Linked DNA regions of Struthio camelus. The protein of the gene in region 2 interacts with the protein of the main gene of each other region in a biochemical or structural test. Links are inferred from orthologs where the notes say so. Each region holds a gene or a part of one and is shown on either strand. Other genes may lie near its edges. The genes, in order: S100A11 and ANXA1.

What was found.
Region 1: the proteins of ANXA1 (region 2) and S100A11 form a complex in vitro, tested with the Homo sapiens proteins (2 studies listed by BioGRID). The link is inferred for Struthio camelus from reciprocal best matches to the Homo sapiens genes ANXA1 and S100A11.

Annotation. Positions count from the first base shown.
Region 1 is NC_090971.1:5,114,906-5,129,572, reverse strand, and holds S100A11 (protein S100-A11), read right to left. Parts: upstream 6,028-14,667; 5' UTR 5,637-6,027; coding exon 5,634-5,636; intron 4,385-5,633; coding exon 4,235-4,384; intron 3,928-4,234; coding exon 3,775-3,927; 3' UTR 3,641-3,774; downstream 1-3,640. Other genes in the region: COPA (coatomer subunit alpha), read left to right, coding at 37-173, 753-939, 1,029-1,139, 1,418-1,579, 1,864-2,058, 2,386-2,445; trichohyalin-like, read right to left, coding at 9,084-14,667. UniProt on the Homo sapiens protein: Facilitates the differentiation and the cornification of keratinocytes.
Region 2 is NC_090982.1:27,177,793-27,193,463, reverse strand, and holds the start of ANXA1 (annexin A1), read right to left. Parts: upstream 6,005-15,671; 5' UTR 5,776-6,004; intron 1,890-5,775; 5' UTR 1,877-1,889; coding exon 1,811-1,876; intron 59-1,810; coding exon 1-58. Other genes in the region: probable DNA double-strand break repair Rad50 ATPase, read left to right, coding at 14,149-14,158. UniProt on the Homo sapiens protein: Plays important roles in the innate immune response as effector of glucocorticoid-mediated responses and regulator of the inflammatory process. Has anti-inflammatory activity.

The DNA.
Region 1 (14,667 bases), on a different chromosome or scaffold from region 2:
CGTCTTTTGCTCAGCAGATTAATGTGTCCCTTTCAGCTCCTTCATGACCAGGTAGGAGTCACAAACTTTGGCCCCTACAAGCAGCTGTTCCTGCAGACCTTTGCCCGTGGCCGTACAACCTACCAAGCCCTGCCTTGTCTCCCTACCATGTATGGATATCCACATCGCAACTGGTAAGCAATGGGGCTAGCTCCTTTTCTGTGCTCTTTGCCTTGTGCCGTTTTCCTCCCTGGCACCTTGGAAGTTCAGTTGTAGCCAGAATTCTTCTCCCTCTCTTCTGAAGGGAGGAGCCTTCCTGTTTGATGGATGTAAATAGGGAGTATTCCATATTTAGTGGGATTTTTCTGCTCTTGTTAGATGTAGAGACTTGAAAGGACTGCCTCCCTTTTTAGAGGTTGAAAACAATGTGAGGCACTTGAGATGCTGGTTTTTCTAGCTCTAATACTTTCCCTCTGGCAAAGCTAATCTGAAGCTAGGACATCTAGAGAACCACAAGTGTATTTTCTATGGTGGTGGCTGGGAGTCACTGTAGAAAAATGAGCCTTACTTTCCAGCTTGTGTTAATGCAGAGACAGCTGGGCATTGTGGGAGGCAGAATTGTGGAAGCACAGATGCCGTTGGTGCTAAGGTGAGACAGACACCGTGGTCCTAGGTCAAAGTGTTGCTGACAAGTTGCAGTTGAGCTGTCAATGTAACGTTGGTGTGTTCTGGATGCCCTCTGTCCTTCCCCAACACCTCTCTGGTGCTCCCAGGAAGGAAGCTGGCTTGAAGAACGCCCTTCCTGCTGTTGGACTGAAACTCAATGACCTGATCCAGCGCCTGCAGCTGTGCTACCAGCTCACTACGGCTGGCAAGTTTGAGGAGGCTGTGGAGAAGTTCCGCTCCATCTTGCTCAGTGTGCCCTTGCTGGTGGTAGACAACAAGCAGGAGGTTGCTGAGGTGAGGGGCAACTCTTTCTTTTGACCATGCCCTGCATCCTCCAGGGGCCGGAGGCCGAATGCCTGACTCCCTGTGTCGCTCTCTCCAAGGCCCAGCAACTGATAGCCATTTGCCGGGAGTATATTGTAGGGCTCTCAATGGAGACAGAGCGGAAGAAGCTGCCCAAAGAGACCCTGGAGCAGCAGAAGCGGATCTGTGAGGTACAGAAGCTCCATGAAATTCTTCGTGGAGTGGTTGGGAGGAAGCTGGGGAGGAAAATAGCCTTTTGGTTTAAAAAGGCACTGGGAATCATGAGTTCTGCCATTTCTACCATTTCCTCTTACGTGGAGTTGTGCCTCGGTTTTCTACCTTTAAAGCAGATGTGGCCGTGATCACCTGGGAGGGTTTGGTATGTTTCTTGCACTTTTTCAGTGCATCCAGTTTCTCACTTGGTTGGTAGTGACTGTATCTCTCCTTTTCCTCCTTCTCCCTAACACAGATGGCTGCCTACTTCACCCACTCCAACCTGCAGCCTGTCCACATGATCTTGGTGCTGCGCACTGCTCTCAACCTCTTTTTCAAACTCAAAAACTTCAAGACAGCTGCTGCCTTTGCTCGTCGGCTGCTGGAACTGGGTCCAAAGCCTGAGGTGGCGCAGCAGGTATGTCTGTGAGGTGCATGGCCAGGAATATAACAGAGTGCTCTCTGTGTGCTTTGGAATGAGACCTGCTTGATTCAGAGAGGACTAACTATTGCTTCCTGCAGGGATAGGCTGAGGCTTTTGTGATCAGGGCAGAAGTGCTTGCTGATGGGAAGGGAGAGGCATTGAGAGGAAGCACCCTGGTTTATGCTTGTTGCCAGTTGAATCTGTTCCACCTCCTGTGGTGCACTTTATTTGGACTGCTTTGTTGCTCCCCCTCTGGTCAATGTGGTTGCTTTTTGCAGACCCGCAAGATCTTGTCCGCGTGTGAGAAGAATCCCACTGACACCTATCAGCTCAACTATGATATGCACAACCCCTTTGACATCTGTGCTGCCTCTTACCGGCCCATATATCGTGGCAAACCTGTGGAGAAGTGTCCGCTCAGTGGAGCCTGCTACTGTCCTGAGTTCCAGGGACAGATCTGCCGTGTCACCACAGTAAGGGAGTGTAAACGTCTGTAATCGTGCACTCCTAGTCCATGATGCTTCCCTTGAGAATTCACTCCAAAGATTCCCCTTTGCGCTCCCTAGACTGACTTGGCCTGGGTTTTGGGTCTAGAGTTGCATGTCTGAGGACTTGGCATGCAAGGAGGAGCAGTTTGGGAATTGTGTAATACAATGTAGTTTAAATCCTACCTTCAGGGACTGACCTTGCAGTGTTCGGCCGTGTGCGTTCCTGAGAACTCCGTAGGCTGTGAACACCACATGTGGGGTTGGGTTGTTGAGCTGCTTTCAAACATTAATCATCTCCCTTTTATTCCCCAGGTGACAGAGATCGGCAAAGATGTCATTGGGCTGCGGATCAGCCCACTCCAGTTCCGCTAGGGCCCTGCCCTGTCCTGGGGAGGTGAGAGGATCAGAGGGAAATGGTCCCGTTTCACAGCACAGTGTTGAAACTTTTACCTCCCATCATTCCGGCTTCTAGTCAAATCTCTTCACCATAGTTGTGCCCGTGCTATTGTCTTACATACGCTTCCTCTCCTAGGAATGCTGTAGTGAGACTCTCCGCTGTTTTTGAGCAGTAGCAACTTGAGAGTCTGTTTCCAGATCCAGTTGATGTGACATTTCTATGTACTATTGCCTCAGAGCTACAGTTCCCCCTCCAAAGCCCAGTCTTTTTCCAGAGGGCAAAGGGTGGCTTTTGCTGAGACCTGGGTACCATACAGTGCACACCATAGAAACTACTTGATAGGCAGTGACTGGCTCTCACTTCCTTTAGAGTTGGGACTCCTGAAAGAAGTACTCAACCTGCTGCAGCTGGAACGGCAGGAAGAGCTGATCTGGCTCTCACTGGAGTGGGGCACTGTCTGGACCTGGGGCCAGCACAGGACCTGACGCAGAGACAGCTCTGCTCCCTTTGGAAATGATGGGAGAGCAGCTCAGAATCTAACTGCTATTGTTGACTTTTTTTGGTTCTGCCAGCTTTTTTCAACATTCTCTACTTCTCACATGAATAAAATAAATTGACCATCTTGATCCGCCTCTTTGGTAGCCCAGTTGGTCTTACTGAGATAGAATGGATGTTGGATTTCATTTCCCCTTTTCATATTTTTTTCCAACCATCTTGTGCTCTTAAGCTACCAGCTTTGGAGGGTTTTAAAGTTCCCAGAAAATGGAGGCTACATTGCTGAAATAATTTAGTATGCTGGCAGGGGGTGCTTTCATTAATTATTAGTGTATAATTGCTCTTACCAGTGCTCAAATTATCGTTACTTGTAATGCTCCTGTCTTCACATTTACCTTGTGTAGTTGTACCATTTGCAATTACTGTGCCCTTCCCCATGATATTTAACAGACTGGATGATCTCCAAGGTCAGATGAATTGTAGTTTTCAGCAGTTACAAGACTGAAACATGTGCAGTTAGGGACGCTGTGAGGTTGAGGGGAAAAGACCTGTGTTCTCACATCAGTGGAGAAGCAGAGGAGAGGAACAAGAGATGCTGGCTCCCTCAGGTGTCTGGACTGGTTGTGTAGTGCTTCCCCCTGCCTTGTGCTACAAAAATAATACCATGCCTTATGCTAGGATTTAAAACCTTTATTTTATTCAGAAAAGGGGGAGTGGGGACACCCACGTTTCAAGGGGACTACTTCCAGCGTTGTGTGGTACTTGCTCACGACAAGTCCACGGTGACGGAAGAGGCAGAGCTGCCTGGGCTAGCGGCGAGGGGCCTGCACAACCAGGGTATCGTGGCATGCTACTGCAATGCCCCCAATGAGGTTCAGGAACTCCTGGAAGTCCAGCTGCCCGTCACTGTTCAAATCAAGTTTCTTCATCATTCTGTCCAGGACAGCTGGGTCCTTCTGATTCTGCAAAAGATCAGGGAGTCTGCTATCAACATCTGCTTAGAGGCAACGGTGCCCCTTGCTGTTATCTGCCAAGGTATGAACCCTGCAGCTACTGAATTTTAATTACCCTTGGAGAGGGGTTGACAGAGGGAGACAGAACTCAGTGGGGGCAACTTTTGTCAGGATCTACTCTTGCTTCTGGCAAAAGTGAGTTCTTCCCACCACTCACCCCACATTTCTTGTGAGAATAAAGGTTTTAACTGCTGTCCTAGGGGCTGAAGTACACAATGGAAAACTCCTGGAAGGGTCTGGCGTGGGTTTTGCTCACCTTTGTGAAGGAAGCCAGCTCACTGTTCATGAAGGCAAGGAACTCTCTCTTGGAGAGCGTGCAGTTGTCCCCTTCGCGCCCTGCATACCGCTGGAAGACAGCCAGCAGGGACTCGATGCAGCGTTCGGTCTCTGTGGGTGACACCTTTGACTGAAGGAGTGAGAGCAAGTTTAGGCTAGCCCTTGAAGAGAGCTCTTTGCTTGCAGAAAAGAAGCAATGTTATTTCTAGAGGAAGGTTGGGGTGAGGGGGACCTTGTGCAATTGCTCTCCTGGAGGAGTCTCCTATGCCCAACCTATTCAGCTACATTTTTCTTTAGTGTTCTTCTAATGCACAACACTGTGGTGAGGAAGTACCCAGGGGAGGGATGGGGTGTGAATCATGCTGCTTTGGGATTCCTGGGCTCTCTAGCATGGAAAATCTCTTGGGGAGGGGAGTTGCCCGGAAGAGGAAGAGCTCATGCAGTGAGAACGGCTGCTCCCTCAGCCTGGAAGAGCAGCTAGTTTTTTCAGTGCTTTCCAACAGGACTGGGCTACGCCTGCTTTTCTAGAAAGATAAGCATTTCCCCCTTTCCCTCCTCCTGCCCTCCCTGGACAGAGCAGAAAGTCTGAGTCAGAAGACAAAAATGCGAGCAGTGCTGGCTCCCTCAACTGCTCGCTTCTGGGACCTGCAATATTGCGATGGCCGGGGGGACGGGGAGCCAGAGGGTGAAATGCTGACCTGGCCAGGAGGGAGCTGGGCTGGCTAGGGCTGCTGCACTGGGGACACCCAGGGAAAAGGGAGGGGGACAACATAGGCCCTAAGCTGAGCTCCAGTCTTTGGGAAAGGGCAGCGCAGGGGAGAGTTGGGAAGAATCTGCCCTTCCCTCTCTAACCTCTGCATCCTGGGGACTCTGTGGCCACATCCTGCCCTGCCTGAGGCTGAATTTAGCCTTTTTTGGTTGATGTGAGAGAAGCCAAGTCGCTTCCGCCCTGGGCCCTGCTTCCTCAGTTCTTGGCTTTGCCTGCGCCCCCTGCCCCGGGGTCTGGTGGAGGGAGAGATGCAGCCCTGACTCCAGGAATGGGTATCAGAAACACGAGCAAGAAATAGAGAGAGAGGGGAAGGCTGTGGGGGGACTGCAGGGGGACAAATGCTACCTCCTGTTCCCCTACAGCTGCAGGGACCCTCTGCCCCCTCCGCAGCACTGCACCCTCTTCTGGCTCCCAGGCCCTCTCCTAGGGAGTGATTTTAATTCAGCCCTTGGCACTGTCTCCTCTTTCTGATGCTAGAGCACGTTTCTCTTTCAGCTGCGCACAGAGCTCTAGGGCTGTTTGCTGGAACCACAAACAATCTCTTGCAATCTCCTTCCAGCTGTTACGGAGTGGCATCTCCCTCCCCTTCCCAGGGACCTGGCTCACTCACCATGGCTGGGGCGTGAGGAGGGGGCTCGATCCTTGGCAGGGGCTGCGGCGCAGCGTGGCACAGGCAGGAGCTGGGGCGGTTATGAGCCTCACTCTGGCTGCCACCGCCCTTCCCGGCAGAGCCAGCGTCGAGCCCTGACTCAGCCCCCTCTGCCGCGTTAGGCAATCACAGCTCTAACGGCAGATCTGGACGTGTCTGTGGTTCCCACCTGGGGCTCAGGAATGTGTGGGGCCCCTCCTCTGGGCTCTCTCATCCTCTTCCCTCTCTATGTGTTATTCTTTACAGTGATTTGCACTTTCGTTTTTCTCCTTCATATCTTTCAACCTTCGTTTTTCTTCCAGCCTGTTTTCTCCCCTCGGTTCTTTGTCGTTTGTCCCTTTGCAGCTCCCTTTCCTTCTCACCCAGCCTAAGGGCCCCCAGGGCTGCTTTGCTGCTACCCAGAATGTCCTCAGTGTTTTTGCTTGCGACAGTGAGGTTTAGCTTCCCCTGCTTTGCTAGAGAGGCACAGGTGAGCAGGCAGCTCTGCCCTGCCGAAGGCAGTGGGGACCTGGGGACAAGTACTACATAGCTGGGGCTGCTGGAAGGGAGCAAAGGACTTGCCAGGGATGTCAGACCCTGGGGACTGTCTGCATCCCTGCTCTTCGTGCTGACCTGTCCCACCTGGTGAGCTACGCTGATAATGTGTTTTAAGCTTGTTATATTGCAAAAGGGGCAGCTGCCTGTGCTGTTGGGTTCTCAGGGGCAGAAGGAGACCTCGCTGGGGCTGGGGTGCCGGTCTGAGCTCCCTACTGCAGCCAGCCACCCTCGTGCCTTATGCTGCTCAGCTGCAGTGAGAGCCTGTGCTGGCCACGGAGGGCTTAAAACGGGGAGATGCAGATGTGGAGGAGGGACACCCAGAAGGCAAGGGATGTGCTCACGTAGCGTGGAGGTGGGACGATCAGGGCTGTCGGATTTGCACTGCCATGAAATCAGCACGGTAGAGAGGAGAGCTGGGCTGAACCCTGGTGCCTGTGGCTACCTTTGCCCAGGGAGCAGGGCTGGTCCCGTGAGCAGTCCAGGGCCATGCCCTCATCCCCCAGCCGCCCTCCATCCTGCAGCCAGTGGGTGCTGGGGAAGCTGCTCAGACATGTTGGTTTATCTGCATTTACATAGCCACTGCGTAGTTACGGCACCCTTTTTCTCTGCTCCTTTGAGGTGAACATGAACATACCCCAAACCCTGCAGGTCGTGAGGGCCAGATTTTCCCCGTGACCACCAGCCCCAGATGGGGCCAGATTTCCCCAAAAACTTCAGGTGGAGCCTGGAGCAGAGTGGCCAAGGATAATGCAGGCAGCCATGACGGTGTGTAGGGAGTGGGGATGCCCTCTGGGCTCAGGGGCAGCTTGTAGGGATGGGGCTAGCTGGGAAATCTTGCTGGAGACTGACTCATCATACGGCAGGAGAAAGGGAAATCATATGAAGCACCAAATCTGGGGAAGAATCCTACTTCCTAATCTATTTTCCTTTCTTGCCCCAATTTCCTTCCCCAAACTATGTTTTCCATGTTTTGGGGAAAAAGTGCCTCCCCCATCCAACCTCTCCTAAGCCTGAAACATTTCAGTGCAAGTGGATCAAAAGGACTTTTCAAAGCAGGGAGCTGGGGGCAGGAAATATGTTGTTCTTCTCTTTGGACTTTGCGCTTCTTTCTGTGCTTTTGCAAACTTCTTTTTGTGATCCCTTAAAACCAAGATAAGAGCTGTTCAGATGGACCAGCATTATTTCCTGTTTTACAAGAGCAAATCCCAGAAAGGGCTCTGGCCTAGCCTGGTCCTAGTTGCAGCGTGGGGTTTGGGGAAGTTTCTGTTTCCTGCTGTTGCTGTGTGTTTGCAGTCGGGAGTTTGGCTGTGTTTGCAGACAGGCCATCTGTGCTGCCATATGTCTGTTACTGAGAGGTGCAACAGTCACGTGCATGAAGGGAGCATCTTGGAGAGTTGTCACCCTGTGCATCCGCCTGTCCCAGGTTGGGACAGATCCTTACGAGTTCCTCTGGCACCAGCTGTGTCTGAAACATTAGAGGAAAGCGGCTGTGCAGCCAGCCTGTGCAAGTGAGGAACCCCGTGCACTTCCTCCTGAAGCCACGTCAGGCTCTAATGGGCTTGAGATGCCCTTGCTCCTCCCATCTGGTGCCATTACCAGCCAGCAGGCTCTGACTTGTACAGCTCTAGTTGCGTTGCAGAGCGAGTCACAGATGGTGGCAGGGTTGTCCTCGCTTCTCCTTCCATCTTCTAGCAAAATCATAGCCCCATCTGCTGCTGAGGGAATCAGTTCCTTATTGCTCAAGGGAAAGGAAAATGAGTAAAATCTGATTTTCGTGAGGGAGGGCCGTGGACATATTCTCCAGTTGTGTGCACCATGTCTGAGAAACAGTGCATTTTCCAGGCCACGTTGCTGCCTCTCTTCTGCCCGAGGACCCGTGAGTGGTCCCAGACATGGGGCAGCCTGGGGTTAAGATAGGCAGATGCCTGTGGCCAGGAAAACGAGCATCTAGATAGCTCCTTAGCCAGCAGCAGATCTCCACTGCGGGCTTTCCCTGCCTGTGTCTGTCGTGAAAGCCAGAGAGCAAGGGCACATCCTCGCATGGTGAGGGCTATATGACCCACCATGAGTCTTAGATTATAACATATGTGGGCTGCTATGGGAGTTTTAGAGGTACGTGGGCTCCTAGATGTGTAGCTGGGTATTTGGAGGGATTTTCAGCAGATTTTTCATCTCTGTCTGAATTAAGATTAGGAGGGATAGGTGGTCTGAACTGGGACGCCCTCCCACCAGCCTGAAGTCTTTGAAGAAATTAGATGCAAGGTTGAAACATGGCAGCAGTCAGTGCAGTCATCAGCTATTTATTGTGATTTTTCATGCAATACGTCAGTGTGAAAAAGAAACAATCCCTCCCTGTACCCGACCCACCACCACCATTACCCTGTGGTAACCACAGCATAACTCAACTACTTCAAAGCCTCCTTGATACTGGAGCTGGGATTATGCTCAGCTGCTAGGAAAGCAAAAATGTGTAACTAAAAGCACTGAGTCTGCATTTAGAGGTGTCTTTTCCCAGCCTCAAGGATTTTCAGGCCCCAGAATGAATATGATTGAGATACTGGGATTTTTTTTTGCATTGCGCAGCAGAAGCTAACAAGCAGGAGAGCCTGCCACAGGGCTAAGGATATGTGAGTGCAGTGTGAGATACAGAACAGTGATGCCACAGGATAGCAGAGATGACAGGGATATAAAGGACAGAGATACCCAAGGAGTCCAATTGCAGTAGAAAAGTGAGTAAATACTGCACTTAAGGTGGATAGACATAATGCAAGAAAGCAGAAGTTACAGAAGCTAGCAGAAGCTAGAGAGTAGAAGCAATCCTCAAAGAGACTTGGGGAAGGCCCACCAACTACCTGGCAGAGACCAGACATCTCCCTAAGATGCCTTGACCTCATCCACACCGGGACAACTTGGTGTCTCCTGTGACCTTGGAGGGCTGGGAGGGCCCTGGCTCTGCTTGGTGCAAAGATGTGGTTCCTCTTCCCCTTGTGTCTGGGACTCGCTTGCTTGGCAGTAGCTCCTCTTGCTGTTTTCTTTCTGTTGCAGGTGGCTCCTCTCTGCATCCTGCTGACAGCAGCTGGCTTCCTCCCTCGGGGGTGGCTGCAGACAGGTATCTTCTGCAGCTCGCTGGCCTGACTTGCATGCTGGTGCCTGGTGCCCTCCACCTTCCCACAGCTGCAACTCTGGAGCCTGGCCTTGGGCCGCCTGGTCCTGGCTGTGTTCGGATGCCTTGGACAGAGGTAGGTGGCTTTTGGCCTCCCTCTCCTTGCACTCGTTCCCCTGCTGACTTGATTCCCCCCAGGGTGATTTGGTCTTCTGTGGCCAAGGCTGGCTTCCCTCCTTCCCTGGCGCTCGGGGCTTGCCCGCTGGGTGGCAGCTGGATTCGGGCTCCTGCAGGACCTGCTCTCCAGAGGCTTTCGATCCGCTTTCCTGTGGCTCCATTTCGGTATCGGGCATCCTTGAACACTGATTGTTCCTCCTGTCCTGTCTGAGTTCAGCCTTGCAAGGTTGATGAGGTTCACCCTTAATGCTATCTGATGGGGGCTCCTGACAAACCCCTTCCTTCACTTCTATTTCAGCCCTCTCGTGCTGACAGGAGCTTTTTCTATTCTCCTGCGGCTCATGCTCATGTGGCTCATTGAGGTCCCCTTTTCTTTCCTGGGGGCTGGAAGGAGGTGGCTGCTGGCTACTGCTCCTGTCCACACATGGTTCCAAAACACATGTGTCTTTGTGCTGCGGGGATTCAGGCTCCTGAGTATCCCCTGGAATTCTCTCGTCCTCACTGGGTTCTGGCTCCTGGCGACTGCTTCCTTCGCGCGGGACTGCCAGAGGCTGTGGTGACACATAGCATTTCCTTGCATAAACAGGTTGCCCCAGGTCATGGGGCTGGTAGCAGACAATCTCGTAGGTGGCTGACTGGGGATTGTTTAGCTTCTGGATCACGTGGATTAAGTATGCCACAGTATGAGGCTTGCAAGGCAGAGGGAGGAACTTGACGTCTGGCTGTACATCTAGCTCATCAGGAAGATAATGGATCCTCCTATCTGCAACAGACTCCAGCTCTGCTGGCAGGCTCAGGTGCTTCGTATCCAACTGCACTATTTGGAAGAGGCTCCTATCATCCCTTCTTCCTTTGCCCTCAATTGATGGGTACCTTTTAGGTTCATGCACTAGTGTTTCTTGCTTGTGTAGCAGTGTGCAATTCCTCTTGCCCTGGTGCTCTGTAGGCTCACAGGGGTTACTCTCTGGTGCCTCACACTGTAACCCATCTGGATGATGGTGGCTAAAAGTATAACACTCTTGTTCTGACTCACTTCTGTCACAAATGCTTCTCTCATGGAACTCCCTCTGGGTGCTCGCGGGAGCTCGCTCTCCTCTCTCCCGTGCCTGGCGTCTGCTGCTCTCGGAGACGTCAGCTGCGAGCTCGCGTTGGCGATCGATCCTCGCCTGGCCCGCTGGCTCTTCCAGCTCTCGTCCCCGGCGAATCCTCCTCTCGTCCTCTGCTGGTTCGCCCTCCTGGGAACGGTCCCTCCCTGCTGTGTCGCCACGTGGCTCCGGTTCGCGGGAGACACGGCAAACCCTCAGGTCTGCCTCGGCTGCCTCTTCTGCGGTCCGGCGGGTCCGTTCGTAGGCGCTCGCGGGAGCTCGCTCTCCTCTCTCCCGTGCCTGGCGTCTGCTGCTCTCGGAGACGTCAGCTGCGAGCTCGCGTTGGCGATCGATCCTCGCCTGGCCCGCTGGCTCTTCCAGCTCTCGTCCCCGGCGAATCCTCCTCTCGTCCTCTGCTGGTTCGCCCTCCTGGGAACGGTCCCTCCTTGCTGTGTCGCCACGTGGCTCCGGTTCGCGGGAGACACGGCAAACCCTCAGGTCTGCCTCGGCTGCCTCTTCTGCGGTCCGGCGGGTCCGTTCGTAGGCGCTCGCGGGAGCTCGCTCTCCTCTCTCCCGTGCCTGGCGTCTGCTGCTCTCGGAGACGTCAGCTGCGAGCTCGCGTTGGCGATCGATCCTCGCCTGGCCCGCTGGCTCTTCCAGCTCTCGTCCCCGGCGAATCCTCCTCTCGTCCTCTGCTGGTTCGCCCTCCTGGGAACGGTCCCTCCTTGCTGTGTCGCCACGTGGCTCCAGTTCGCGGGAGACACGGCAAACCCTCAGGTCTGCCTCGGCTGCCTCTTCTGCGGTCCGGCGGGTCCGTTCGTAGGCGCTCGCGGGAGCTCGCTCTCCTCTCTCCCGTGCCTGGCGTCTGCTGCTCTCGGAGACGTCAGCTGCGAGCTCGCGTTGGCGATCGATCCTCGCCTGGCCCGCTGGCTCTTCCAGCTCTCGTCCCCGGCGAATCCTCCTCTCGTCCTCTGCTGGTTCGCCCTCCTGGGAACGGTCCCTCCTTGCTGTGTCGCCACGTGGCTCCGGTTCGCGGGAGACACGGCAAACCCTCAGGTCTGCCTCGGCTGCCTCTTCTGCGGTCCGGCGGGTCCGTTCGTAGGCGCTCGCGGGAGCTCGCTCTGCTCTCTCCCGTGCCTGGCGTCTGCTGCTCTCGGAGACGTCAGCTGCGAGCTCGCGTTGGCGATCGATCCTCGCCTGGCCCGCTGGCTCTTCCAGCTCTCGTCCCCGGCGAATCCTCCTCTCGTCCTCTGCTGGTTCGCCCTCCTGGGAACGGTCCCTCCTTGCTGTGTCACCACGTGGCTCCGGTTCGCGGGAGACACGGCAAACCCTCAGGTCTGCCTCGGCTGCCTCTTCTGCGGTCCGGCGGGTCCGTTCGTAGGCGCTCGCGGGAGCTCGCTCTCCTCTCTCCCGTGCCTGGCGTCTGCTGCTCTCGGAGACGTCAGCTGCGAGCTCGCGTTGGCGATCGATCCTCGCCTGGCCCGCTGGCTCTTCCAGCTCTCGTCCCCGGCGAATCCTCCTCTCGTCCTCTGCTGGTTCGCCCTCCTGGGAACGGTCCCTCCCTGCTGTGTCGCCACGTGGCTCCGGTTCGCGGGAGACACGGCAAACCCTCAGGTCTGCCTCGGCTGCCTCTTCTGCGGTCCGGCGGGTCCGTTCGTAGGCGCTCGCGGGAGCTCGCTCTGCTCTCTCCCGTGCCTGGCGTCTGCTGCTCTCGGAGACGTCAGCTGCGAGCTCGCGTTGGCGATCGATCCTCGCCTGGCCCGCTGGCTCTTCCAGCTCTCGTCCCCGGCGAATCCTCCTCTCGTCCTCTGCTGGTTCGCCCTCCTGGGAACGGTCCCTCCCTGCTGTGTCGCCACGTGGCTCCGGTTCGCGGGAGACACGGCAAACCCTCAGGTCTGCCTCGGCTGCCTCTTCTGCGGTCCGGCGGGTCCGTTCGTAGGCGCTCGCGGGAGCTCGCTCTCCTCTCTCCCGTGCCTGGCGTCTGCTGCTCTCGGAGACGTCAGCTGCGAGCTCGCGTTGGCGATCGATCCTCGCCTGGCCCGCTGGCTCTTCCAGCTCTCGTCCCCGGCGAATCCTCCTCTCGTCCTCTGCTGGTTCGCCCTCCTGGGAACGGTCCCTCCCTGCTGTGTCGCCACGTGGCTCCGGTTCGCGGGAGACACGGCAAACCCTCAGGTCTGCCTCGGCTGCCTCTTCTGCGGTCCGGCGGGTCCGTTCGTAGGCGCTCGCGGGAGCTCGCTCTCCTCTCTCCCGTGCCTGGCGTCTGCTGCTCTCGGAGACGTCAGCTGCGAGCTCGCGTTGGCGATCGATCCTCGCCTGGCCCGCTGGCTCTTCCAGCTCTCGTCCCTGGCGAATCCTCCTCTCGTCCTCTGCTGGTTCGCCCTCCTGGGAACGGTCCCTCCCTGCTGTGTCGCCACGTGGCTCCGGTTCGCGGGAGACACGGCAAACCCTCAGGTCTGCCTCGGCTGCCTCTTCTGCGGTCCGGCGGGTCCGTTCGTAGGCGCTCGCGGGAGCTCGCTCTCCTCTCTCCCGTGCCTGGCGTCTGCTGCTCTCGGAGACGTCAGCTGCGAGCTCGCGTTGGCGATCGATCCTCGCCTGGCCCGCTGGCTCTTCCAGCTCTCGTCCCCGGCGAATCCTCCTCTCGTCCTCTGCTGGTTCGCCCTCCTGGGAACGGTCCCTCCTTGCTGTGTCGCCACGTGGCTCCGGTTCGCGGGAGACACGGCAAACCCTCAGGTCTGCCTCGGCTGCCTCTTCTGCGGTCCGGCGGGTCCGTTCGTAGGCGCTCGCGGGAGCTCGCTCTGCTCTCTCCCGTGCCTGGCGTCTGCTGCTCTCGGAGACGTCAGCTGCGAGCTCGCGTTGGCGATCGATCCTCGCCTGGCCCGCTGGCTCTTCCAGCTCTCGTCCCCGGCGAATCCTCCTCTCGTCCTCTGCTGGTTCGCCCTCCTGGGAACGGTCCCTCCTTGCTGTGTCACCACGTGGCTCCGGTTCGCGGGAGACACGGCAAACCCTCAGGTCTGCCTCGGCTGCCTCTTCTGCGGTCCGGCGGGTCCGTTCGTAGGCGCTCGCGGGAGCTCGCTCTCCTCTCTCCCGTGCCTGGCGTCTGCTGCTCTCGGAGACGTCAGCTGCGAGCTCGCGTTGGCGATCGATCCTCGCCTGGCCCGCTGGCTCTTCCAGCTCTCGTCCCCGGCGAATCCTCCTCTCGTCCTCTGCTGGTTCGCCCTCCTGGGAACGGTCCCTCCCTGCTGTGTCGCCACGTGGCTCCGGTTCGCGGGAGACACGGCAAACCCTCAGGTCTGCCTCGGCTGCCTCTTCTGCGGTCCGGCGGGTCCGTTCGTAGGCGCTCGCGGGAGCTCGCTCTCCTCTCTCCCGTGCCTGGCGTCTGCTGCTCTCGGAGACGTCAGCTGCGAGCTCGCGTTGGCGATCGATCCTCGCCTGGCCCGCTGGCTCTTCCAGCTCTCGTCCCCGGCGAATCCTCCTCTCGTCCTCTGCTGGTTCGCCCTCCTGGGAACGGTCCCTCCCTGCTGTGTCGCCACGTGGCTCCGGTTCGCGGGAGACACGGCAAACCCTCAGGTCTGCCTCGGCTGCCTCTTCTGCGGTCCGGCGGGTCCGTTCGTAGGCGCTCGCGGGAGCTCGCTCTCCTCTCTCCCGTGCCTGGCGTCTGCTGCTCTCGGAGACGTCAGCTGCGAGCTCGCGTTGGCGATCGATCCTCGCCTGGCCCGCTGGCTCTTCCAGCTCTCGTCCCTGGCGAATCCTCCTCTCGTCCTCTGCTGGTTCGCCCTCCTGGGAACGGTCCCTCCCTGCTGTGTCGCCACGTGGCTCCGGTTCGCGGGAGACACGGCAAACCCTCAGGTCTGCCTCGGCTGCCTCTTCTGCGGTCCGGCGGGTCCGTTCGTAGGCGCTCGCGGGAGCTCGCTCTCCTCTCTCCCGTGCCTGGCGTCTGCTGCTCTCGGAGACGTCAGCTGCGAGCTCGCGTTGGCGATCGATCCTCGCCTGGCCCGCTGGCTCTTCCAGCTCTCGTCCCCGGCGAATCCTCCTCTCGTCCTCTGCTGGTTCGCCCTCCTGGGAACGGTCCCTCCTTGCTGTGTCGCCACGTGGC
Region 2 (15,671 bases):
CAGCTGATGGTTCAAAGTTAGGGTATGACTGGACTGGAGAGCCACCTTTCGAACTTTTCTGCCGGGAGAAAAAAAATACTCATTCCAAAGAATATTTATGCAAAGAAGCAGTTTTACATACCTAAATCATCCTTGCATTCAGGATTGCCTGTTATACCACTGTGAAGAAATGAACTCTGAGTCTAGTAGCTACATATAATTTAAAAGACCCAGTATGACGTATGCATTGGTTTTTCCTCCTAAAGGAACCCGGGGATAACTGGGGGATAATGAATTCCACCACATGACACATTATGTGCTTTGACCTAAGTCAACATGACAAAATAAGTTACTGGTAGGGCCCACACCCCGGCAGAACTATATAACCAATGTTCTCCTCATTACCCTCTTTGACAGCAGCTAAAAAATGCTCTGAGATTCTTGGATGAAATATTTAAAGAAAATCCCACTTGGCGTGAAATATTATAAGACCTTTTAGAACACAACAGCAGTTTAGCTAAACTTTCTTAGAATCAGCTGTACTCTTTGTCTTATATTCAATAATACGCTATCAGAATATTTTTTCATCTTTTGCCTCTCAAGTTAATTAGCACAAGACGAACAGTAACGTCTTAGGGATATATATTTCACATACAGCATTCTGTACTGAATTTTTGCATACTTGTAATATCTGTTAGTTACATTTTCCACAATTTTATCACCAGGAGTTGTATTAAACAGAACATAGATATTGCATACTTAAAGAAGTGTCTGGCATACTTAAAAAAAAATAAAAAAAAAATCACTGTGACTTGTGGAAGCCAACAGAAGAATAGGTCTAGCTCAGTGCCTGGATCCCAGGCTAGCCAGATTAGTATTTGTGTGCTAGTTTCCATGACAAATTTATCTAGTAGCTAAATAAAAAACTGCCTGTAACCACTGTAGCTAGAATGACTCAAGGCCCTGCGAGCACAAGGGGGTTGAGATGTGGAGCCAAGGGATTAGTCATAATATGGTGCCGGACAAAAATCAGAAAGTCCACAAAGAAGATCTAAAGCAGAAAAGTTTGTTACTGAAATTCCCTCTTATACTTTATTTTTCCAAGATGAAAGTTGCTTTCAGAATCTGCCACGACTTCACAGCGTGCTGCTTTACCTGCGCCGACAGCCTTGTCAGTATCCTAATCAGCTTCCTTATCACAAAGACACTCCGGAACCACCTAGTGCACTAACATATAATTTCTCATCACCGTCAGCCTTTCCTTCAGATTTCTTCCAGTTAGTATCACTACCAATCACTTGAGATGCTTTATCACATACAGTGACTCTTCCCACCCTAAGCATGCCATATGGTGAGAAAACCAGTATTTATACAAGGAGCATTAGTTCCTCCTTTGCATTCCTGGGCTCCAACTCATGGCTTCCTGAACCTCAGTCTAAGCACCTCTAACTTCCCCACATACGTCATCTGCACACGTTCTTACACATTCACACTCCTGTGCATCAGATTACTACTTTACTTTGAGTCAAACGACGACTGACCAGTGGAAACAGCAGTTTCATTACAGTAACTGGCTCTGTCTATAAACTAGCAACTAGGCACTGAAATGTGCACCCAAGAATATTTTTTTATCCGATATCAGAATGCTATCAGAGACTTTTTAGACTGTATGTTATAACAAAATCCTGTTCTAATTCTAATCAGCAGAATTTTGCCATCGTCTTTCCTCCCTTCCGAGTCTATGAAAGATGTTCGTTGGCCTACGGCTTTAAACCACTTCTAAAAGTACTTGACCATAAGCATGATGCTCTGAAAAGGTTATAATACTTACAATACATTCCTGCTCCTGATTGTCCATGAACCATGCCTGCTTCAGAAATTCTGCTACCATAGCCATGTTGATGGACTTTCTGGAAAAGATGCATCACATTATAAACCATTTTTTCTCATTTTCATTGCCAGTGCATCTCAAGCTTTCCCACTGCAAAGTCTTTTCTCTTGAATTATGAAACATAGGCGTTAACTTCCCAAGCATTAATTGGTTTGTGCTATTGGAAAGCAGTTAACTTTTGATTATGATGTTCAGCAGATGATGTAATGCTTTGCAGTTGCCTGATCATCCAGACACCCTTAGCTGCTTCCACAAGTTTTAGATTAGAAATAGAATACTAAACTAATTGGATTATTTGCTCATTTCGTACGGTAATACCTAAGTGGTAGCACTGGCTTTCAAAGGAAAGTTACAAGAAACAAATTGTCTTTCTCCCTTATCAAAGGTCCATATACCTGACTGAATATTCAATTCTGTTCAAAGTCAGTGATAAACAAGTATTCATGTATGATCATTTACTGAGTTCTGAGCTTTTGTGTATTGTGTTAAGCAAAAAGATATTCCCCTGTTAAACATACCCTCATTTAATTTCTATGAATAGCCCTTTCTTAAGAAAGATGAGTAGAAGTGGACAGTTTCACCTACACCATTGCTTATTTCTCACATGTACTCTCCAATTTCTACTGAAGAGTAGAGCAATATCCATGCAGGAAGTTAAAAAAAATTTTTGCTTTTCATCATTACAAAAGCAAATCAGGCCAGCTTTTCCACAAGATGTCATGCAAAATAGGAAAAAAAGCAATGGAGAAGTGATTTGAAACCAAGCACTCAATGGTAATGAATGGGCTGCTTCGCAACAACCTTGGTGCAGAGAAAATTCTGTTTCCTAATAGAAACACTGAGGGAATAGAGTGGAAAAGATTACGTTTTATCAGGTAAAGTATTTGTTGTCTGCGCCAAATGGATTTTTCATCAAAACACACTTTTCCACAGAAAACTCTTGGGAAGGCTAGGTTTTAAAGCACACATATAAACAATAAACTAAAGATAACACAGCCTATTAATCTGAGGTATCTTTGAATAACGCCTCACGCATCTAGCGTAACAAGACCAAACACTGTTTGCAGCTGTGTGTATGTGAACCTACTGGAGTTCCTGAGGTACAGATCACATAAGGCAGATCTTACGCAAAAGTATTATAACCAATGCTGACTGTGCAGCAAACGCCCTTGCTTTATTTATGCCCTGTGATCCATACGGTGCTGAATGGCCCTGGGAAAGGAGCAGTCATCTAAAGCGACTCCCTCCTAGGGCCAGGCAACACGGCTGCAGTCAAGCTGCTCCTTTTACCAGTAGCAAAGCTGTAAAGCACATTTCCAGGTCCAGCTGTCAGCAAAGAGAGCTGCCTCCCCATCCCAGCTCCCCATCCCAGCTCCACCCTTTGCCAACAAATTCCTGCTTCTCTGCCCTTCCCTCAGCCCTGAGGGCACAAAGTTCAGCTCTGCCCCTGCTTCTGAAAAACCTGAAGCTGGTTCTGATCCTGTTACTATACATCACTTAAAGTATGTGCAAGTTTAAGGACGGGGACCAACTTTCAGGTATGTGTAACTTACTCAGAAGTCCGGTCTGAAGACCAGAAAAGGTTATTTATGTTGCTTGCCAAAACAGTATTTTGTCGAAACGATCTAGTGACTCCTGTACCACCCTTGCTTTGATAGCTGAAGTGCATGAGGCCAGATGAAGTGTTGTGGTATCTAAAATCCTGCTGTATTCTGTAACAGGCAATTGCCCTGCACAACGAAGATTGTTTGCAGCAGGATGATGACATTTTATAGCCTCTGGGCTGAGCGCTGCGTGCCTGGTCACCGGCAGTGACGCACACAGGTATGTCTGTCTGCTAACAGGTCTGCAGACTGTACTCTTGGTTACAATTTAAATTTAATAAGCCAGATTCAGTTTCATAGCACCAGATCTACCAAGGGGTAGAACCAAAGTTGCATTTGGGCTGACAGCGTTAACATTTATCGGGAAGGAAGCTGGCAGGGCTGGCCCCAGGGAGAACCACTTACTTCCCCAACCCTTCTGCCTCTCCCCATCCACACCCTCACCCAGCTCTGGAGCTCCTGCTGCTCAGGGCAATGACTGAAGCAGAGGGCTGCTAACCTGCACTGCATTGTGGTTCATTAAGCCTCTAAGCCTTTATGCCTATTCAAATTTAAACTAGAAATACAGTGGAAGAATTATGTGGCTTAAAAACAAAACCTTTATTTTTTCTGCCTTTTAAATAAAGACACTTTGGCGTGTACATCCATCTGCTTCCATCTAGTAAACAAACAGTATTATAACTTAAAAAAGAAGCTAAAGTAGACAAATGCTCTTGAGAAATGTTAAAGACTGCTTACACTGGCTCAGAAAGTTATGAAACCAGCTTACATGTAAAATTGTTGTTTGCTATCTTTATAAGAAATCATGACTAATACAAAAAGATTGCAGGAATCCAGGGGAAAAACAGCCAGCCCCCTAGCAGAGTAGGGGCCTTTCCCAATGCTTTGACCCTTGCCACTCTAGAATGCAAACAGCTCATGTTAAGCACAGCCTAGGTTTAAAAGAGATAAATTCAGACAAAAAAAAAATATCTTGAAGAGGGGGGAATGAACTACTGGCTTTCTACCATACTTTCTCCTAAAAGTCTATGAACAAGGAGAAAAAAATATACATATATCTACACCACATAGCTATTCAAAATTATTCTGTTTAATAAAATATTGTACACACTGTGTGCCCTACGACCCAAACTGGAATCTTTAGACATCCCAGTTAAAAGGAGATAGGAATTTAAAGTTTTTCAGTTTGAAAAATATTATGATTATCATCCATTTTATCAGTCCAAATTGGAATAATTACTATTGCATTTGGAATGACAAATAAAAAGGAGATTTGGACTGAAAGTCATAAATGTTCCTTTACAGGAATGACTGATAAGTTTGTTACAGTCTGGATGCCACTCCCTGCAAGAAGTGCCCCTGAATTTGACATGTTTAAATTCTAAAAAGTTTTCAGAAAATAAATACTACCTATTTATTCAACATATTTAAAGACTCCAACTTTTACACGACACCCTCAGCTATAGAGGAGTCAAATCAAGTTCATCCCTGCCATTTCTCTATCCTTATTTAATCACACATCAAATATATCATCTCTGATTACAGTCCCATGCTAATTACCAGAATTTTGATGTAAATTAAGATCATAACACCCTGTCAGAAAAGCAGGCAGTAGTTGCAGGCGTTTCTTTTACAACAACTATGTGTTTCTTTTATGCTTGCAAAGTCCAGTGGATAAAAATGAAACATCATGGAGGAAAACAGCCTCGCCCTTGGAAAATTCAGTGGAAAGTGTCAGCAGAACCAATCCCAAATTATACAGCCCTTACTTCTGTGACTTTGCACAAGTTTTTAGCTACAGAGCAGATTTTTGCTGTTATGTTCCTTAAAGGTTCTTTTGTCTCACTTTCATCATTTTCACGAGCAAAGACTGATCTACTTTCCCAAAGCAGGGAACTGCTGTTGAGGTTAAAGCAACTGCTTTTAAAAACATTTTAAGTTCCCATATAAAGCACATTCGTTTCCTAGTGATTCCAGTTTTGCTGCAAACAGATTTCTACAGCAGCCTACTACAAAGGGGAAAATGAAAGCACAGGAAGCAGTAAACTCCAGTAAGTTTACTTTTAATCATTTAAGCTATTTTTTTCAACTCCTCGCGTGCATTAAATAAAAGCAGTTATTGTGTAAACTCCTCCATGTACATGAAATATTTCAAAACTGAAAGAATTTCTTCTGCCTATACCCTTCTTTTCTGGTGGCAACAAATCCAGCCTGTACAAAATTGCACCAGGTCACTTGAGAAACACAACTCTTAAAGCTTGTCGGGTCTACAAAGAGCAACAAAGAACTACAAAAACCTACCTTCTGCCTCACAAACGTTAGTTTTCAGGAGGGTACAGCCGAGAAGAAAAGAGCTGTGGCCTTGCTATGGCTTTTATAGTGCTCTGCAGCACGCCCCACCTAGCAACCAGAGTGTTTCCACAGCCCCAGTAACTGGTTGCTCTTTGCTACAGGCTAAATTGGGGTATTGTCCAAAACACACAGAACTGCACAAAAGAAGTCATTGCAAAACCATGCGCTGGAAGGAAGCAGGAGCAGATTACATAGGGGAAAAGACAACTCATGAGCATGCCTTGGTAGGTTCCAGTCTCCACAATCAGAGCCCTCACTGTAGTGAATTTCCATAAATCTTTTGAGGTTATTGGATTAAAATACTAAAGAGACAAAAGCTAAGCTTTAATTACTTCCTGGACTTTTTGACACCTCTTATACAAGTAAAAAGTGAATATATTAAGACATCTCATTCCCCAGTGAAAATTAACAACAAAAAAAAAGAAAAGTAGAGTGGAAAAGAGTTAACGCAGGTTCTTGGCTTTACTGAGCTCTGGCAGCTATTAACTCTGCTTCTGGCCATGAATTCACAGCAGAGTTGCCTCAGTAATAAGACACCTCCAAAAACGAATCTCCCTATACTATGTCAAAAGGGCACTGGGGGGTTTTACGATTTTTTTTTTTGGGAAAGGTAGCAGTTCGGACCTGCTAAGCTTAACAGAAGTGAGAAGAAGAATTAGGTACTTGCATAATTAAAAATGGTTTGAACCACTTGGCTTAAACCCTGAAGTTCAGAGGGTGCTGGCCTGCTTGCCAGAAGGGGTGATCCACAAGCTTTCCCTCATCACGCTGGCCAAACGCCCCTTCCAGAGCACTTCCGGCACAGCGCCGAGCGCACGCATGGCACGCGTCTCCGGTGGGCGCAGCTCGCGCTGCCCCGGGAAGAAGTACCAGTCTCAGAAGGGGAAGCATCTGAAACTAACAGCTTGGCCTATCTGCCCAGCTGATACAGACCTGCTGCAAAACGCTGGCAGCAGTAGAAAGGTGAAGTAGGGCTGATGTGCCTCTGATAAACCTGCATGAAATACAGCCTTTTCTGGAGCCCTGCGTTTAGCAGTTAATGAAATGAGGTGGGAGGGGCACAGACTGCAGGGCAGTGTAAGAGGAGCCACCTGCTGCAAATGCTTTCATTACAGCACCCTTATGTTCAATTTGCTTCACAAAAGGGCTATTTCAACTTTGGAAACAGGCTGCTTCTTTTTTTCTTCTTCTTCTTTTTTTTGTTTCTTCTCTTTAATCAAGTATGTGGTGCAGCAAGCATGCACCTTCCTGTGCCCTGCTCCCTCAGGGCAGGGGGACGGGTACCCATGGCAGCCCCCAACCCTGGCCCCAAGGAGCCCCCGCAGCGCCAGGACAACAGTCTTCTCCTGCATATAGCACCTTCCTTCTCTCCTCCGCACTACATGTGTTATTTAGCAATATATTAGTATTTCAGGTGTTTTCAGACAGCTGAATAATTGAAGGGGTCTGCCAGTTTAAACGCTGATATTGTCAGCAAGCTGTCAGGTTGCATTGAGTTTTGTTTGTTTAATTATTCTGTGCGAAAGTCAGATTACTTCTGCCTTCCTGACCTTGTCCATGTCAGTATGAAGTTAACGTTATTCCTTTAGTGGTTTCCGATGTTGGCCAAAAACTGTGTTTACACTCTTTTTCTGGAACTGTTTCCCTTGCCTGTTAATGAGCATGACTAATTATAATCCATTTACACTGAAAAGCTGGAAGTATGTTTGTATCCTGGTTTTCCTTGCTGAGTCTTTCGAAGGCCGGAAATAACCTAGAAAGATAAGTTATGCAGACTCAGAGCTTCCTTATAAGTTGCTAGCATTTTCTGAGTAATGAAAATAATACAGCAGCATTTACTAGAGGCCTGTAAGGGCAGGAAACAGTGTGTTAGAAGTACTTAGTAAGACGTTCTTCCAGCTCAAACCTTTTTTAATTTGCTTTCTCAACAGTTGGACTAATGTGCTGTTTTCGTCACTGTAGTTTTCTACTTTTATTTTATTTACTTGTTTTATGTATTTAGTCTTTCAAGCCTGTGTTTCAGCTTTCGGAGTGAGCTGAGATGAAGCCATTTTGCTGCATTTCTTTTCAGGAGCTGTTTGCAATTGCTTTTTCTCTTTTCTAATGGGCAGAGATGTTGACTCATCGTCTTCCTGAAATCAGACTGAGTCATCAGAGCCCTTTACTGTATAGTAGTCTTACACTTAAAAATTGCAATTTAATTGGAGAGAACCTAAGCATTTATTGTTAACTGTTTAACAGTAACTCCATCATTTGTTTCACAAAGCTGTAGTAGTTTGTAAACAGCTTCAGGATTTGGTATTGTTTATGCAAAAGATGCAATGCATGGAGCTACTGTCATAATAGAAATGAGAGAAACTTTTTTTTTACTTTTACACTCAAAACAACATGCCTCAGATACTGCTAGCATCAGTATTGTGATATAATAGTCACCTAGTAAAGTATACAATTGTTCCTGTGAGAACTGGAAAAGTACTCACTCAGAGTAAAAACAGAGCAAGAGAAGAATAGCACTTTTTGATAAACTACCAAATTTGGCCTCACCAAATATTTGCCTTGAGGCTTATGATAACAGCTCAAATGGGCAAACAGAGTTTCCCCAAGCCAGTCATCCTATAGAGCACTGGTGAAAGCCAAATAACACAGGAATTTCTTGGAGTCTGGGAGAAAGACAGGAGCCCTTACATCTGTTTCAGAGGCCAGTGATTCCCCTGCCTTAGAAATGCCCTTCTGTGTGCATTTCAGTGGGAATGCCGTAAAGAGGACCTATATTTGGGAAGGTTTGGAAATGGATCATTCTACCTACACTCAGCTGAGGAAGCCCATTGTACTGATCACCTTCAGATTACCCATGAGATAAATGTTAAGTGAAAACTGATGCTCACACATTGCATTGTTCTGAAATAGCATTGTCCTGCAGGAGCGCCTGAGTGTACTGAGTCAGATAATAAAATAAGTCAGAAAATAGAGCTCTGCCTGTTTCCCACCAGGTCAGTCATCCGTTTGGGACCAGCTGATAGCAAGCCAGAACAAGCTGGAAGCCACCTCTCTGTCTTGCACCCTGTGACTTCATTCCTTCTCACTAGCTTTTATACACACCTCGTGAAACTGCCGAGAAATGTATTACTCCATTTCCTTAGACAGCAAGAGCCTGAAGGGCAACCAGCTATACTCAGGTTTCAAGTAACAGATACAGTTAATACAGATGATACAGATACATATGATGTCAGCACTGTATGAGTACTAACAAAGGCAGTAAAGGTTCTGGCAACACTTTCCAGTGCAAACCCAGGACTTCCCCCACTAATGCATATTTGGCAAAGTACAAATTCCTGTTTTAGGAAGAGTATCTCTATTAGGTTGTTCAGAAAAAAATCTTTCCTGCTTATTGAAGTATAGTGCGTTCTCAGATCTTCATCACTTTGACATTACAGAAGATTAAATTTCAGTTTCAGATAAAACAGCAACCCTATCTGTTGTTGTTCATCTGCTCATTTGCATCTAATCTTTGTGATTCTAGATAGGTCCATGTATAGTTGTGCTGTGATCATGAAAATATACAGTTTAACTAACTGTTTGCCTGGGTAGTATACAGTAGTGTAGACTTCAAATCCAGACACAGATTTTTCTTTTTACTTCCATGCTCTAAGAAAAAAATAGGAGGGGAGGGAAGGGGAGGGGTGGGGGGCGCGTATGTATAAGATAGGTAATCAAAACAGCGGCTGCTGTGTTAAAGGATTTGCTTTCATCGATGCATTATTTCTCACTTAGTTCACGTTTCAGCTGCTGCCCTCTGCAATTTACAAAGGGGAAAAGATGGGAGAAAACAGGCAAAGCATGCATTTATGTATCGATAATATTTCAAATTAATTCATGAATATTTTTGAGGAATATTTATAGCTGGGATTCATTGTATTTGTTTTAGCCTTGCACAACATATTTATCATTCATCTCTCTCTTTCACCTTGGATTAGCCAATATTTTGTTAGTGTCTCATGAAATACTGAATTGGCATTGATCCTCTGGCAGGAGGAATTCTGTACTTGAATCGCACATGTACCTTCTGTCCATAAATAGGTCTAATACTTACTCTTCACTTAGCTGCAGTAAATACCTTTCTGTAGCTCAAGAGATTTCTAGAAGTATAAAGAGATTTTCTGTTTCTCATTGTAAACCATAGCTTGGCTATTCAGAAAACACAAAAAGTTAGTAAACTGTCCCATACATAATGAAATAAATACCAGCCCATGCTGTAGCAGGAATGCGCAGCTTAGCTATATGTGAAGTGATGACATCTCAGCATCACCTGTGGAACTAGAAATCCCATTCACTTTAAATAAACTAGAGCAATGTTACTGATTTCAGTGGACCCAGGAATTCATCTTAGGGATGCAGATTGAGAAACATTTCCAGAAGCTTTCTTGACTTGTCAGAATGCCTTCCAGGTAGAAGCCCAGACTCCACTATGGTTGTGTGCCAAAGTAATTTATATGAGACAAATCTGAGCCTTCTAGGAAGCCTCTAGGAAAAAAGGTTTGGAAACCCTGGTTACACAAACCCTCTTTGGAATTGCAGTAGAACAATGAAAGTACTCAGAAGTTTATACGCATGTACTCCAGGCCCAGGTCTTTTACTCTTTCCCCTTTTTGTTGCCATGAAGGTGGTACTTCAGTGAGGAAGGTACTACACAGAGCACATGCAGTGAGAAGATGGATGAGACAAGGAAGCGTGAGCATACCAGCCTTTTACTGGCCTCTGGCCTATGCTGAGTATCTGCAATGCTAATCAGAGGGGCACATCAGAAGTGGCATTCAAGAAAAGGGAACACAAATGGCAGAGCTTTATTTTAAGCAATAGAACAATATATGACTGCTGTGAACAGCTTAGTGCCTTCGTGGAGGAAAAAACTCTTTTTGTGGACAAAAGTAAGGTAAGCTGCTGGCCTGCCACAACTGGGTCTCGGAGAGGTGTAACCAGGCAATGTCTTCCCCTGAGCCGAGAAAGCTGGGTAAATAGTGCTCTGCATCTCACCAGAAGTAGAAACCCAGCTAAAAAATAGTGTTCTTGTAACCTCAAAGAAATGAAAGACAACACTAACTAGCAAAAAGTTAATGAGCAGATAAACAGTCTATGATGTTGCAATATGTAGGTAATGTTTTTGTCCTCCAAGTTAGCTCCACAACTGTATTGCTATTTCCATGTTCTCTTTTTTCCTTTAAGGAAAATTAATATATAAAACATTTCCAAGGTTCTTGTAAGCAAATCGTTCTGCCTTGGCCGTTTCTCTGTGTTGAAACACGTACCACTATTTGCATACATTGATGGTAGCAATCCAGGTTAAAAAAAACATATCTTACTCCATAAATACAGTGAGGAACAATTATCACATGTCAAAGCTTCAGAATCACTTCAGTTAGGCTGAGGCCTGTTTGGAGTGTCCCAGCCCTGGCGTGGCTCCTACTACCCTTAGAAAAACAGGAATGACATGATCAGTGAATAATAGTAGCTTATGTTTGCTTATTGTCTATGTTCAGAGCGTGGTAAGAACAGTCAAGAGAAGGTTGAGAAAACTTGGCATTCAATTTTCTCTTTGTCATACATGGTCCTAGCTGTTCCCATTATTAACAGGGAACTGTCAAGGTTAGCAAACGTTATTCAAGGTATCTTGGGTATTATTATTTCACTGAGTATTGGCCTGCCAAAATAAATTCTGTGCAGAGGACACAGAACTATCTTCTCAGTTAGTCAGTGACTGTAAAAGTGATTAGCTTCCACAGAAGATTAAAATAGTTTCTTCTCAGACAAAATGTAGATCTTTATGGGGCTTTCCCTCAAACCTTCGCAGAAAAAGGATATAGATACAAAAAAAAAAAAAAAACTAAACAGATATATTCCATGTGAAGATGTACTTTTTCAGGCCTCCGCCATTTTATGTGTTTTCTCCTCAATATAAATGTAATACTTTTGTTGACATTCAACAAAAGAGTTTGCATCAGGGATATTTGTTCCAGACTTCTACATTCAGATGTTGAAAGGCAATTGCTTGTTGTGTTTCTAGCTCAGAAAACAGAAATCTCCTGTTTTTATGTTTCAGTTTTACTCTAGAGTGAGTTGCTTCATGGCTGTTACCGCTTGGGGAAAAATACTGCACAGAGCACAACGGACAACAACACAGTTCAGTCATAGCTATTCATAAGAAACTTTAAAGGACTTCGGCTTGTTTCTATTTGGAAGAGAAGAAACCTCAAGGCAGGTTTGTATTTGTTGCAATTTGTCCCATTGTAAAAGTGCCCAAAGGTACGGTTCGTTACTCAGTGGTTGATTTGCATCTGAACTTCCTCAAAGGGGAAAGGTGCAGATGTGATATGTCATAGGTGGCCCAGTTCTAAACTAAACCAACCCTCTCAGGTTTTTTATCCCTGGAGCTGCTGCTACTACTAGGTTTTTCAAAGAATCATAGTGATTGGCAATATCGGTAGAGGAAGAAGAGGTTCCCAGCCCTGGAAGTTTGCCTTCTCAAAATTATGCATAAAATATTATTATCCATAACACAACACTGTAGGCAAGAGTGAAATATTGAGTCCCAACATGGTAGTGATTTTAAAAAGGAAGGCCTATGTTGTAATTGATTATTAATGGCATTTTATGAAGGGTGATTTAAGTAAAAATGTAAAGAAGGTTTGCAGATATTATTTTTAATATAGTATTAGCAAGAACACATGAGTCAGAAAAGAATACTGAAAGGAGTGGTATTAAAATGTGTTTCTTTAGTAACGAGCACAGTCAGCTGCTAGTTCAGGACTGAGGCTATTATTCACTCCTAAAATGCTTAGTGACAGACACAAAGGACATGGCAATGAATGTTGAAAAATGGAAGTTGAAACCTGACATAAACCTAACAGTTTCTGGTTTTAGCACTATTTGCAGTGCTAATTCTAAGTTGTATATACTTTTATTTCTATCAAAAAATTCTGGAAATGTGATCTGTCAAATATAGGTTTCTATTGTTACATTTGCAATTTTTGAAACATTTTCAGCTCTTCAGAGGTTACTTTTCTCTTGCCTTTTCTCCTTTGCCCTTCTTCAGTTTTCTCCTCCATTTTTTCCCTGCAGCAAGAGACAAAAGAGGGGGGGAAAAGAAGAAAAGGACTCCTGAATATTTTTATTGTCATAAAAAGAAATAACACAAAAATTTCTTTTTAAATAAGGAAAGGACAGTCTTTCAGGGAGGCCTTTTATCTAGTCCCATGATTTATTCCTCACAGCGCAGTGAAGCTATGATGTATTCAAAAGAGGACACCAGAGAAACAAGTCATACAAATTGGTTAGTTGTGTCTTAATTGGAAGGAGATTCCCCACAAAGTTGCTCCTTATAAACGGATGGTGAAACTGCTTGTGGAGTTAGGGATATGAAAAGCCTCACTTTTGGCCTCCTGTTTTTAATCCTTTTTGACATAAGGGTGGGGTCCAGAACAATGGCAGCAAAGGTTGGACCGCGTCAGCCTGGGAAAAATTTATTCTATATTTGCTTTTGCAGCTGCTGGCTAGGACTTGCTTCTCCCAGTTCCTGCTACTGGGTTGTTCATATGAATATAGGAACATATCATAAGGCATGTGCCTAGTTTACTCCAAGAGAACACAATATTTGCCCTATAGTTCAAAACAACCTGCCAACTTCATGAGCTGAGACTAATCTCAGCATAATGTTATTGGCAGTGATAAATACGTTTTTTACCTTCATAAACCAAAGAAGGGAGAGAGTACAACGCAATCCTCCCAAATAGGACAGACTATGTTCTAACAGAATACCAGTTTCACATCTGGAAGCATTTAATAACCGTGTTTTTGTGAAATTAGGGCTGAAATTGCATGAAACACTCCTTAGAGTTTTACTAGTTTCATCACTACTGGATATGTAGCAAGAGTGTCATATTTCACATTCTTTCTGCTGAAACAAAGAAATGTGGATATTTGTAAATATTTTCATGAAACACTTTTAATCTTGTGAGTGTTTGTGCTTTCTGGTATATAGCATATGCCTCTATTCTTTTCAGTTATAGCTGTCTTCCACAACTTTGAGTTTCATCTAGTAAGATTTAGTTTCCTGACAGAGCAGAAGTTGCTAGCCACAGGAAACAGTAGAAGAAGAAACATGATCCTTATCTCCCATTTTACTTTCTACAGGTATCTTGTTGCCTAGCGAAGCTCTTGCATTTTTAAAGATAAATATTTATATACGTAGCGTAGGAGGCTGACAGAAAATACCAGGCTTTAATTCGCACCTCTGTGGAAAACACCGGCCCTGAGAAACAGACCAAGACAATGGATGAAGGTAACTCTTTAAAGACATAATATATATTTTGAAAAGCTCGGAGTGCTTGTGTTATGTTATAGAACACAGTTATGGAGAGTGGAAGGGTGGAGCCAAGCAAATACTGTGTTAACAGTCTGACTTTGGAAAAAATAATCGTCTATTGTTAAGCTTCTTAGCTATAAACAAAAGTCAAGGAAAAAATATCTCACTGATACACAAAACATGCCAAAAAGCTACGTTGTACAAGTAACAAAAGTATGGAATACATATTGTTTCCACAAATGGATAAGTATAGTTTTGAATAAACCTAATAATTTTTCAAAAGCTGCTTTGCCAACCTAGGAATGTGTATATTCTAATTCTAGTGACTACTTGGGAAGTTTGTGCATGTCCTCATAAATATTCGGGATGGTGGCATAAGTGAAATTCTCCTAAGTAAAATCACTCCTTGATTTGCAAATATTTTGTGAATTTTTAGAAAAACCAGACTGAGTTTCCACAGCTCAGCAAGTCACTGACTTTTACTTCAGCCACAGCAAGTGACTGTATTGCAATGTTTATTTACTGTGTCTCACTTTAAGCATGTCATTTCAAGAAATACGTGAAGCATGTTAGCAAGTAAACAGAAAACTGAACAATCCTAAGGCTAATGAATGTGCCTTCTGGTGAAAGATTGAAAAGTGGGTTTGTTAGTCTGCTAATGCAAAAACCCTTAAGCCCTTATTCGGAAGCATTTATTCAGAAGTCTGCAGAAAACTGTAACTTGGTTGTAGGGCAAGAAGCAATGAACTCCAATTTGAGGGAAAGGAGTTTCAGTTGGACATTAAGTAGAAAGAAACACAGTAACTAAAAGGAACTTTAATAGATTGGACAAACATCTGAGAAAAAAATATTTTAGGTATAAATAGTCATCCTTTGTTTTTTATGATGCATTTTGTTGGGAGTATTTTCTTGTAAGCTTAGATTTTTACTCCAATTTTCCTGTTCCTGCTGCTTATTCCTTATCTGAAGTTATAATTCCTTGTTTGACTAAAAAAGTCATTTGCAAGGCAAATATTTTTACCAGAGGTTTATGCCTCAGAGAAGAGAACATTAAAGCAGCAACAAAAGAGAAAAAAACACACATTTCCTTTCTTTTTTAGAATATATATTTTCCTTTCTTTTTTAGAATATATATTACCCTAATTTTATCATACAGAGTACACCACAGGGATCATATGTATCCTAAGTGTGACGTGTTAAAATTCACATTAAATACCACCTGTACTCTGGAAATCATTTTTATTTTACAGAACACAACTCTTAGAAGATAGTAGTCTAAGTGTTCAACGTGATTAGTGACTTTGGGCCTTCAGTTTCTTTGATACACCTCCTCAGTGGCTAGATCTCAGGTCACTAAGCTATTTCAAGTGGGGCCTCAAAAATGGAAGTATCCAGAATCAGTAGTCATTCTTCAGTTTGGGGCTTTTATTGCAAATGGATTTAGTAGAATACAGAAGTGGAAGTAGAAGGCCAGATTCTGTGAGTGCTT